Saccharomyces cerevisiae S288C: one gene and its partners. Changing the gene in region 1 together with any one later gene gives a genetic interaction. Each region holds a gene or a part of one and is shown in the gene's direction. Other genes may lie near its edges.

Evidence for each region.
Region 2: mutations in PBN1 (region 1) and YHR112C together harm fitness more than expected from each alone (negative genetic interaction), as found in Saccharomyces cerevisiae (one large-scale study listed by BioGRID).
Region 3: mutations in PBN1 (region 1) and FAL1 together harm fitness more than expected from each alone (negative genetic interaction), as found in Saccharomyces cerevisiae (one large-scale study listed by BioGRID).

The regions. Positions count from the first base shown.
Region 1 is NC_001135.5:33,794-37,553, reverse strand, and holds PBN1 (Pbn1p), read left to right. Parts: upstream 1-2,160; coding exon 2,161-3,411; downstream 3,412-3,760. Other genes in the region: LRE1 (Lre1p), read right to left, coding at 1-1,689; SPB1 (27S pre-rRNA (guanosine2922-2'-O)-methyltransferase), read right to left, coding at 3,580-3,760. UniProt on the Saccharomyces cerevisiae protein: Required for proper folding and/or the stability of a subset of proteins in the endoplasmic reticulum. Aids the autocatalytic processing of PRB1.
Region 2 is NC_001140.6:334,027-337,348, reverse strand, and holds YHR112C (putative cystathionine beta-lyase), read left to right. Parts: upstream 1-1,685; coding exon 1,686-2,822; downstream 2,823-3,322. Other genes in the region: APE4 (aspartyl aminopeptidase), read right to left, coding at 1-1,012; UBA4 (Uba4p), read right to left, coding at 2,955-3,322.
Region 3 is NC_001136.10:485,209-488,663, forward strand, and holds FAL1 (ATP-dependent RNA helicase FAL1), read left to right. Parts: upstream 1-1,595; coding exon 1,596-2,795; downstream 2,796-3,455. Other genes in the region: GCV1 (glycine decarboxylase subunit T), read right to left, coding at 1-157; putative uridine kinase DAS2, read right to left, coding at 538-1,236; ATG31 (Atg31p), read right to left, coding at 2,864-3,454. UniProt on the Saccharomyces cerevisiae protein: ATP-dependent RNA helicase involved in 40S ribosomal subunit biogenesis. Required for the processing and cleavage of 35S pre-rRNA at sites A0, A1, and A2, leading to mature 18S rRNA.

The DNA.
Region 1 (3,760 bases):
ACTGTCCTGCGCCTGCTTTCCTAACGCATCATCGCTAATACACCAGCTTTCATTGCTTGTTGCTGCGCTGTTGCTCGCATGGAACGTTTTCAGTGCGTCATCATCCTGGGATAAACTAAAGACTAAGTCACCAGTTTCATTTGAGGCTTTTCTCTGCGCGTTGACAAAAGAGGACAGATCAACCATATCACCTGGTTCACCCATGAGAATGTCCTTACTTAGTTGCGAATTGGTTCTGATCTGCCCTTCAGACTTGGAATATTCATTACTGTCATTACTTTTAAGCCTATTCATTTCTTCCTTGCCATCAGGCGTACAGGATTTGACCACAGAGTGTTGAAGGGGTGCATCGTCCGCTCTCGTAATAACCCCTCCGATACTATTTTCATTGTTGACACCGTTGACTGAAAAGGGCATGGACTGTGCATTAATGTTTTCATTTTTCATCATATCATCATATGGCATTTCATAATGTTGACTCTTGTAGTTGAAGATTGAGTTTATCGTGTTACTGTTTCGTCTACCTTTCATATTATCAATCAGGTTGCGGTGTTGCATGTGGGAGATAGGACTGCCCGATCTTCTTCTTCTCGATTCTCCACTAAAATCCTGTCTTTTATCGCTATCCAGCACACGATTAAGCTGTGAATTGCCGCACTTTTTAGGATAACCATCCTTGGCATATCTAGGGTTATCTTTTAGTGGAAAATTATCACTTTCTAAGTTAATGTCCGCATTGCTGTCATAAAAGGATACTGGTGTTGCGGGAGTAGATGCTAGTTTAGAAGGGGTATAGGCCAGGGAAGAAGGTGTCATTGCCTGATTGATTGTCATTGAAGCAGCCGACCTTTGTTCTTTTGGAGATTGCGAGTCACAGCCTACGGTCAAAGGTAGCTGCTTCGTATAATGATAATATCTTTGCTTTTGGCCTTTGATCTTCAACGAATTGAATGTGTTGGAATTCCGTGCATTGGCGTTTTGCATCCCATGGTTGTGATGGGTCGGTGACCCATTGAGAGCTGAATCATCTACATCAATGGCCTGTTCAGATACACAAAGGGAAGGCCGCAGTGGGGATAATAGTGCTGTTGGAAGCTTTTGCTCATAATATTCATTTTTCGATTCTGGTTCAATTAAGGAGTCCTCTTCTTCTTTAATCATAGAGTTAGAACCGGCTGCACAATTGCCCTTATCTACCATAACCTCCAAATCAGGAGGAGCGGATTCAGATCTTCTATGTGATTTAAATGACCTAGGCCTTGTCTTCAACGCATCGTCAAGGTTAATAATGGCATCTGGGACGCCTTTAACTGGCGATGAAAAACTTGGCTCTTCACTAATGAAAAATCGTGGACTTGGTGTTTGCAGATTGTTCTTTGGTGATAACGGATAAAATCTTGGTTCAGGCAAATCTAACGTTCCAGCGTCTTCATTGGTTTTGCAAGGAAATCTATTGTAGCGTATTGGCGATAATGTACTTGATACAGCAGTTGGGGCAGTTGAAGGACAATTTTCAGCCGCCTGTGGAGGTGGTAAATTCACAATTGCTGCAGGCTGTTTCAAAAAATCAAAATCTCCTGATATTGCTAGCGATCTGCGATGGCGGTGACCTCTTTTGGATGGTGTAGACAAAGTATTTACAGGATTTGGCTCTGATATTTGCACATGTTGAGTATGCGTATTGGGCATTTTCCTATTCTGAGAAGGAGTATGAAATAATTGCCGAGGGTTCAGAATGCTCTTTTAGAAATAAAAATGAATGTAAATAGTTGGAATGTATCTTTAAGTAGACAAATGCAGGTAAGTTTTAGTGGCCTTTGCGGATTAACAGTATGCTCTTAGTGCAAAACACGAAAAGAGCTCCCAATCTTTGAACACAATCGACCACGGAGGAACAATACACGTAGAAGGGGATAACTAAAACTTTGTCGTGCAAGAGTATTGGAGGACACACTAACAGCAGAACTTTGCCTTCTTAACTCTTGTTTATGATTGCTTGAAGTATTACACATGTAATAAAAGATGATTATTTTTTTTTTCCTAAAAAAAGTTCCTTTCTTTGAAGATCCCCCTGATAAAAAAGATCAAATAATGGAAACGCTAATCATAATCAAATCGGGAGGAGAATAAACGCAAGAAGTGTGCGTTTCTAGCTGAGTAATGGTGACAAGACATAGAGTGACTGTACTCTACAATGCCCCTGAGGATATCGGTAATCATATGCGCCAAAATGACACTCATTTGACTGTTCGTGGAGGTTCTGGTGTGGTTTTACAACAAAGGTGGCTATTAGAGAGGACTGGAAGCTTGGATAAATCCTTTACGAGAATCACTTGGAGGCCCAGAGCGGACTTGGCTAGAAGTTTAAGCGTTATAGAAAATGAACTGAGTGCTGGCTTTTCAGTTTACTCAAATTCTTCGGATGTGCCGGAAAGGTTTATTACTAACCCAGTCTACAATTCATTTCACAGTGAGAAGTTTGACATAGAGCAGTACTTGCCTCCCGAAGTAGATTTGAATCTGTCATGGAATCCAGAAGATTTTACATATGATATATCAGTGGAGCCCACACAAATCCAAATTGTTGAATATCGTCTGTTGAAACAGGGTGAAGAATTTACAATTGCAAGAGTGAAAGATGAGAAACTCGAAGTAGGTGTATTCTTTGTGGATGCAAGTGATGAAAGTGATGTCGATATTGGTGGAATACGTTGTAATTGGAGGATGGACGATGGTAAAATGGAAAGATGTCAGAAAACATCCTTATTGTATAAACAGGGCCATATCGCATACAATCACTCGACGACTACGACATCACTATATCTGAATGAACCTATCGGTTTGCATCCAAAAATCATGATTGATCTCACAGATTTCGAAGAACGCCCTAAATGCATGTATCTAATGCACCTGCAATTGCCGTTAGAATTATTTATCGATAAATTCCAATCCTCTCCCTTACTACTTTTTGGAGAAGACGACTTAGAATTACCAGAATACTCTCTTCGAGATAAGGCATGGGGTTCTGAAAGTATCTTTGAATTGAAAGCCGGCACAATGAATGAAGTGACATTGCATACTAGATATATTGAGCCTTCTAATAATAAAGGGGATAAATTAGAAGTTTCATTTGATCCAGAAGTTATATTAGCCTGCGACACAGGTGACAATAAAGTTTCCCGTAATCCATTTTATAAAAAAGGTCTAGGATATGAATCTCTCTTTACAGACGATACTACATTCCGCCATTTGAACTCGACAACTCTTCTAGTACCAATTCCAAGGCCTGACACAAAGGATTATTCCAAGATCAAAAATGGTACGTTACTATGCTTACTCATCTCCATCATATACATTTTCTCCAAGGTATTTGGTAACAACAAGAAGAAAAGATCAGTAAAACGGGAATAAAAATTGTTCTACTGTGCACTCGTATTTTCTGAATTCAAAACGATAGGTTTCCTATAAGTTTTTTGATGATAATTTGATTAATTCTATGTATACATAATATATCTATTGCTTTCTTTTCCTTTATTTTCAATATTATACAAGGGAATGGAAAAATAATGCTCTTTGTTACTACTTTTTCTTGTGATGCTTCTTTGCGATACGTCTTAGGGCTCTTTGTTCATTCTTCATGACACCATCAACCATCTTATACTTACCCTTAACGCCCTTTGGTCTACCTGCCAAACCTTTGTTCCTACCTGAGGCAACAACCAAAGTAACCTTTGGCTTGGTCTTTGGTTTTTTGGTAACC
Region 2 (3,322 bases), on another chromosome or scaffold:
AACCGTCCCCCTTCAGGATGGACAACCTTTCCAATATATTAGGCAAGAAGTTAGAATCTGCCCCTTGGGCGGAGGATGAGCCAATCTCCTCATGATCAAAGCATGCCATCAATCTAATGCCTGATTCTCGGTCAATTTCTGTGTCAGCCGCCAACGTTAAACCGTGCATTGATGTGAAACAAGATGTCAAATTATCCAATCGACCAGAGAAGACAAACTCATCGTTGAACCCACCTAGAGTGGATGCATTATGATCATAAAGGATCAATTCGAAGTCTTCAATGTCTTCAATTGTATCAATGGCGAGTTCTTTGGCTATTAGCCCCAAAAGTTCTGCGTGATGCCTCTGTACTATCGTTTTTATGGAGGTAAACTCACCGTTATTAATTTCCTTTTCAGTTTTCGCTTCAGTTTTGTCTTCTTGCAGACCACCAATCGGCAACAGTTGAGTTTCTCTATTAAACTCGAATTTTTGATTTACGTCTCTGTCCAGATGAATAGCCAAAGTAGGAATCTTTAACAGAGGTCTATTCAAATCCACCAATCTAGCAATGGATTTGCCAGTTTTCGCATCCTTTACGAAAACTCTTCCGGCAACGCCCAAATCCTTATCAAACCATGAATGCCAAATAGCGCCACCATAAGTTTCCACGCCCACTTGTAAATACTTCTCACTGACTCTTTTAGAAATAGGCTTAATCCTTAATGCGGGGGAGTCGGTGTGAGCACCCGTAATGGCAATTGGATTACCAGGCTCCCACTTTCCACCAACAGCAAACGCAATAATGGAAGAGCCATTTCTTGTCACAAAGTACTTTCCTTTTTGTGCGACGTGGCCAGCCCACGAGTCACGTTCGCTCAACTCTTTGAAGCCATTTGACACCAGATGCTTTTTGATGTTATGAACTGTATGGTAAGGAGAGTGTGAGCTATTTAAGAAACTGACAAACTCCTTTGGGTAATCACTCTTGCATGTTTTGCTGGACATAGTTCTCAGTTGTATCCTGAACATAGAAAAGCTGAACCTTTTATTCTTTCTTTTTACCTACTTGCTCACATAACATGAATTTTTTCTTTCATTCATACAGGAGGAAAACGCCCTTTTTTCTTTCATTTAAGAGCGTGGAGATATCTGCAACTTTTCAGCAAGTATGATAAGGCTAAAATGATAAGGAATAGAAAACCGTAGCCAGAAACTAGTATCTCGAAAGCCAAGGCAGGCTTCTGTTGCAAAAATAAGCAGACCTTAAACTAAAGGAGTTTACTCCTTGGCGGAACACTGAATCACATTATATACGTAAGTTGAACGGGACTATTTATCACGTGTGATTATGTGGTCTCCATGTCAGTCGCAATATTTACAGTATATATAAGGGAAAGAGGGCCAGTTGTAATAATTGTAGTACGTGAAATAACTGTTTCTGAAGTCCTTCACATACGCTTTGGTACGGGATTAACCACTTACTGATAGACCTCAAGGATATCTTGTGAGTTCTTGTCAAATGGTGAAACTGTGGTTTCTATTTTTTTGCGGTGTTTAATTCAGAGTGCGATCACTTGATGGGTTTATGCAACACGCGATATATAAGCATATTGCGCAACAATAGATCGTTGCAATCCCTCCATCTCTTCAAATGTTGTAGTACATGCTATAAAGGAAAGATTGCACGAAAAGAGTACGTAAGATGGTGGACTTGTCAACAGCTTTGATTCATGGCGATGATAAAGATAACAGGGTTACTGACGTGGCGCCCCCAATTAATGTCTCTACAACCTTCCGTTACGACGATGACGACCTAATTCCATGGACAGAGCGTGAAAACTTGGACTTTATGGAGAAGAAGCCCGTATATTCACGGCTAGCGCATCCAAATAGCACCAGATTAGAGAGTATCTTCTCAGAGATCCTCGATGGTTATGCTGTCATTTATTCTTCAGGGTTAGCTGCGTTCTATGCGGCAATGGTACATTACAACCCTAAGAAGATCTTTATCGGACAGAGCTACCATGGTGTTCGAGCAATTGCTAACATATTGACCCGTAATTACGGCATTGAGCAACACCCCTTGGAAGATATTGAAAAATGTGCTTCTGAAGGTGACATTGTCCATCTGGAATCTCCTGTAAACCCATATGGTACCTCTTCTGATATCGAGAGTTTGGCCCGCAGAGCTCATGCAAAAGGCGCCCTGCTTATAGTGGATTCCACATTCGCATCTCCTCCATTGCAATACGCATGGAATTTCGGAGCCGATATTGTCCTATACTCTGCTACTAAGTACTTTGGTGGTCATTCTGACTTGTTAAGTGGCGTCCTTGTAGTCAAAGAGGAAGCAACTTCCCGACAACTAAAAGACGACAGAATCTACTTGGGTACAAACGTGGCAAATTTGGAAAGTTTCATGTTGTTGCGATCCCTGAGAACCTACGAAATGAGAATAACCAAACAATCAGAAAATGCTACGAAATTAGTTAGATTTTTGTCAGATCACCAATCTGAATTTGACAAAGTATTGAAGACGATTTACCACTCTTCTTTACAAACAGAAGAGTTCGTTAAAAAGCAACTGGTAGGAGGATATGGTCCCGTTTTTGCTATCACTTTGTACACCAAAGAGCAGTGTAAACAATTACCCCTCAAGCTGAAATATTTCCATCATGCGACCTCACTGGGTGGAATTGAATCCCTTGTGGAATGGAGAGCAATGACTGACCCATATATCGACCAAACTTTAATAAGAGTATCTGTGGGCTGTGAATCCGCTAATGATTTGATTAAGGATTTGGCTTCGGCCTTGAAAGAATTGCAGGATGCAGCCTGAATAAATTGCTCAAGTGTGTCGAAAACATTCCTGTTATAGAGCATAAGTGACAGACAAGAAGAAATAATGAAAGGAGGGAAAGGGATAAAAAAAAATAAAGTTACATATACACGTTATACATGTATAGGTCAACTAATATTTAGGAATGGTTTGATCAATATCGTCTATGTATTTGAAGTATCCTCCTCTCACGTCTCGTACATTAGAAAACCCAAATTTATCCTTCAATAATCTTGTAGCTAGCTGAGAGTCGTTACCGTAGCGGCAAAGAATCACTATATTACTGTCTTTTTCTACACTGGGAAGTTTTTCTTGCAGTTTCTTAAGATCACCGTTCATATCTCTTAGATTTTTGATTGGAATATTAACTGCTTCAGGGAAATGAGATATCTCGTAATGATGGGATGGCCTAACATCAAGAAATATATGTTTTGCTAGAAATTCATCATCCTTGTAGATACGCTGAAATGCGTCCACACTGATTCTCTCATCAGGCTCGC
Region 3 (3,455 bases), on another chromosome or scaffold:
GTGATTCAATATGAGTCTGTCCCTTGTATAGTACGGGCATGGAATATCCTGCGTATGGTACCATTGTACCGCCTAATGACACATGAAGGTCATGAAGAGCAGTTTTTTTCAAAGTTGAGTTGAATCTCTTAAACACAATTTTTTTGATTATAGACATTATTGCTTGTGCCAGGCAAAGCTCTTTCTACATATGTGAGCTACGGGTACTGTAATTGGATTTGTTTGGGTTCAAGGTGCTATATATATGATATTTGGACCTATTCTTTTTGACATACCGTTTACTCGAGGCAACACGAGTCAGGGCTCCTGAGCAGAGTCGCCCTGCCGAAAGAAGTCACGGCGATGAACAAAATAGGTGATATCTATGACCAGCTCTAAGTAAGAACTCAGCTTCCCGTGAGCATGGTTCTAATGGAGTAAAAGCGCCCATCGAGATCCAAGAATGCAAAAAAAAAATCAATAAGCTTGTGTGGGTAAATACGGATGTTAGTCGCATCGAGCCGATTAAAAGTGGCGCAGATATAGAAGGCAAGGACCTCATGACAGATCGTAATATCTATCTTTCTCCAAGTCCATTGTTTCAGCTTCGAAATCCCATAAACGTGGGCGTATTTTGTTGTTCGTATTGTTGCCTTCTATTTGGCTTTTGGTATCTTCGATTGCTTTAACTATACCGTCCACGAGGACTGCGCGCCCTAGATTTTCATTTGTAGAAGGAATGATCAAATCTGCAAAAGTTCTAGTGGGCTCTATATATTGTTGCATCTCCGGGCGCAGATGGTCCATATACTCAGTGATCAACTGGGCTAGTTGTTCATTGCTCCCTACGTTCTTCTTCTTGATTAGACTAATTAATCTTTTATCTGCATCACTATCCAAGAATACTTTTAATTGAGATATTTCGTTGATGCGTTTATCGTATAGCGCATAACAGCCACATACTATTATCAAATCTATCGGGTCCTCGTAATCATGTTGAATCATGTCATTTTGAGAAGTTACAGCGTGCTTTTCATATACCAAATTAAGGATATTATCAAAATCATAGTCGTTATTATTGTAGCTCTTGATGTTCCCTTCTATCATATTATCTAGGTTTATTACCCTTATATTGATAGAGTTATATAGGCTTTTGAAAGTATTTTGTAAATCCAGTGCAATTGCTCCAACACCAGTAGCATGCCCTCCACCGATAGAAATAACAATTCTTTTTTCTTCGACAGCTTTTCTGTCCATTTCCTGTAATATTTATCTCGCTAATTGTTAATGCAGGAAACGAAAATTAAAAACGATTTCCCTTGTGGTATGCTCTAGGAAAAATGTACAGATAAATTGAATTATCCGTGATGGCAGCGTACAATCCATAGTTGCTTACTATTTGATCTGCTTTTTCTATCAGTGTCGAGAATTTATGCCGAAGTTTGAAAATTTTATTTTATGCGATGAGCTAGATAATAGCAGGGCCCAGACAAAATAAAAACATGAATTATACACAAATTTTAATATAAAAGGGCCACCACTCCTTCAAGAGGTATAAAAATTTGTTCACTCAAATAAAATAGACCGTACAGAAACAAAAAAAAAACTCATTAGACATGTCGTTTGACAGAGAAGAAGACCAAAAATTGAAGTTTAAAACATCGAAAAAATTAAAGGTGTCTTCTACTTTTGAAAGCATGAATCTAAAAGATGACTTACTTCGAGGAATATACTCATACGGTTTTGAAGCACCATCCTCTATCCAATCAAGGGCTATTACACAGATTATTTCGGGCAAGGACGTTATAGCACAAGCACAATCAGGTACAGGTAAGACAGCAACTTTTACAATCGGCCTTTTACAAGCTATTGATTTAAGGAAGAAAGATTTACAAGCTCTAATACTATCTCCAACACGTGAATTAGCAAGCCAAATTGGGCAAGTAGTAAAAAATCTAGGGGATTATATGAATGTCAATGCATTTGCCATTACAGGTGGTAAAACTTTGAAAGACGACCTGAAGAAAATGCAAAAGCATGGTTGCCAGGCCGTTAGCGGAACACCAGGAAGAGTATTAGACATGATTAAGAAACAAATGTTGCAAACAAGAAATGTTCAAATGTTAGTTTTAGATGAGGCTGATGAATTATTGAGTGAGACACTAGGTTTCAAGCAACAAATATACGATATTTTTGCAAAATTGCCTAAAAATTGCCAAGTTGTTGTTGTCAGCGCAACAATGAATAAGGACATTTTAGAAGTAACCAGAAAATTTATGAATGATCCAGTTAAAATCCTAGTGAAGAGGGATGAAATATCACTTGAAGGTATCAAACAATATGTCGTTAATGTTGACAAAGAAGAGTGGAAATTCGATACTCTGTGTGATATATACGATTCTTTGACCATTACACAATGTGTGATATTCTGTAACACCAAGAAAAAAGTAGATTGGTTATCTCAGCGGCTAATCCAATCAAACTTTGCTGTAGTCTCCATGCATGGTGATATGAAACAAGAAGAAAGAGATAAAGTAATGAATGATTTTAGAACAGGTCATTCTCGTGTACTGATATCGACGGATGTTTGGGCGCGCGGTATTGATGTCCAACAAGTTTCTTTAGTCATTAACTATGACCTACCAGAAATAATAGAAAATTACATCCATCGTATCGGTAGAAGTGGTCGATTTGGTAGAAAGGGTGTGGCTATAAACTTCATTACCAAAGCTGATTTAGCAAAACTTAGAGAAATTGAAAAATTCTATTCTATCAAAATAAATCCGATGCCAGCAAATTTTGCAGAATTATCATAAAATATAGAGAACATATACCTACATAAACAAGTTAAGAGAGTCTCATCCATGCGGCTTCATTTTTGCTTTCATACGGAATTGGAGAGCATTTGTAATTGTTCATTTTGTGTGACGTAGAGTTTAATTAAGTCATTCAAACTCAAATCGCGAAGAAAAGGAGACAGATCGCAAAATTGTGAAATTACATCGAGCTCAATGTCCGAGTCCACTCTGAATCTATCACTGTCAACGCTAAGTTCTTCCTCTTCATCATTAGATTTATCATCACCATGTGATGATAATGTTCTCATTTGGTTTTCCTCCAAGCTGAGACTATTTGTCCTATGTGACAAAAGCTCATATTGGTCGCTGATTAGTGTGATATCCTCAAGAGATCCCGATTCATCCAATTGGACAATTATGACATTTTCAAGTTCATCTCCGACCTTATCTATTCCTGCTGTCAAAGCAGCATCACTTGAATCTACTAGTTCATCATTGTTGTCCTCAAATATGTACTTAATGTTAGTGGGAAACATTGCATAATCACTTCCGTCCGTGCTCTTTGATTCATTATTGTATGCTGGTTGATCATCGTTGCTGGGACCCTTGTTATTTTTGATATTCTCTTCTAATCTGTACTTGACATTTTTATCATAAACAGTAACTGTAACATTCATT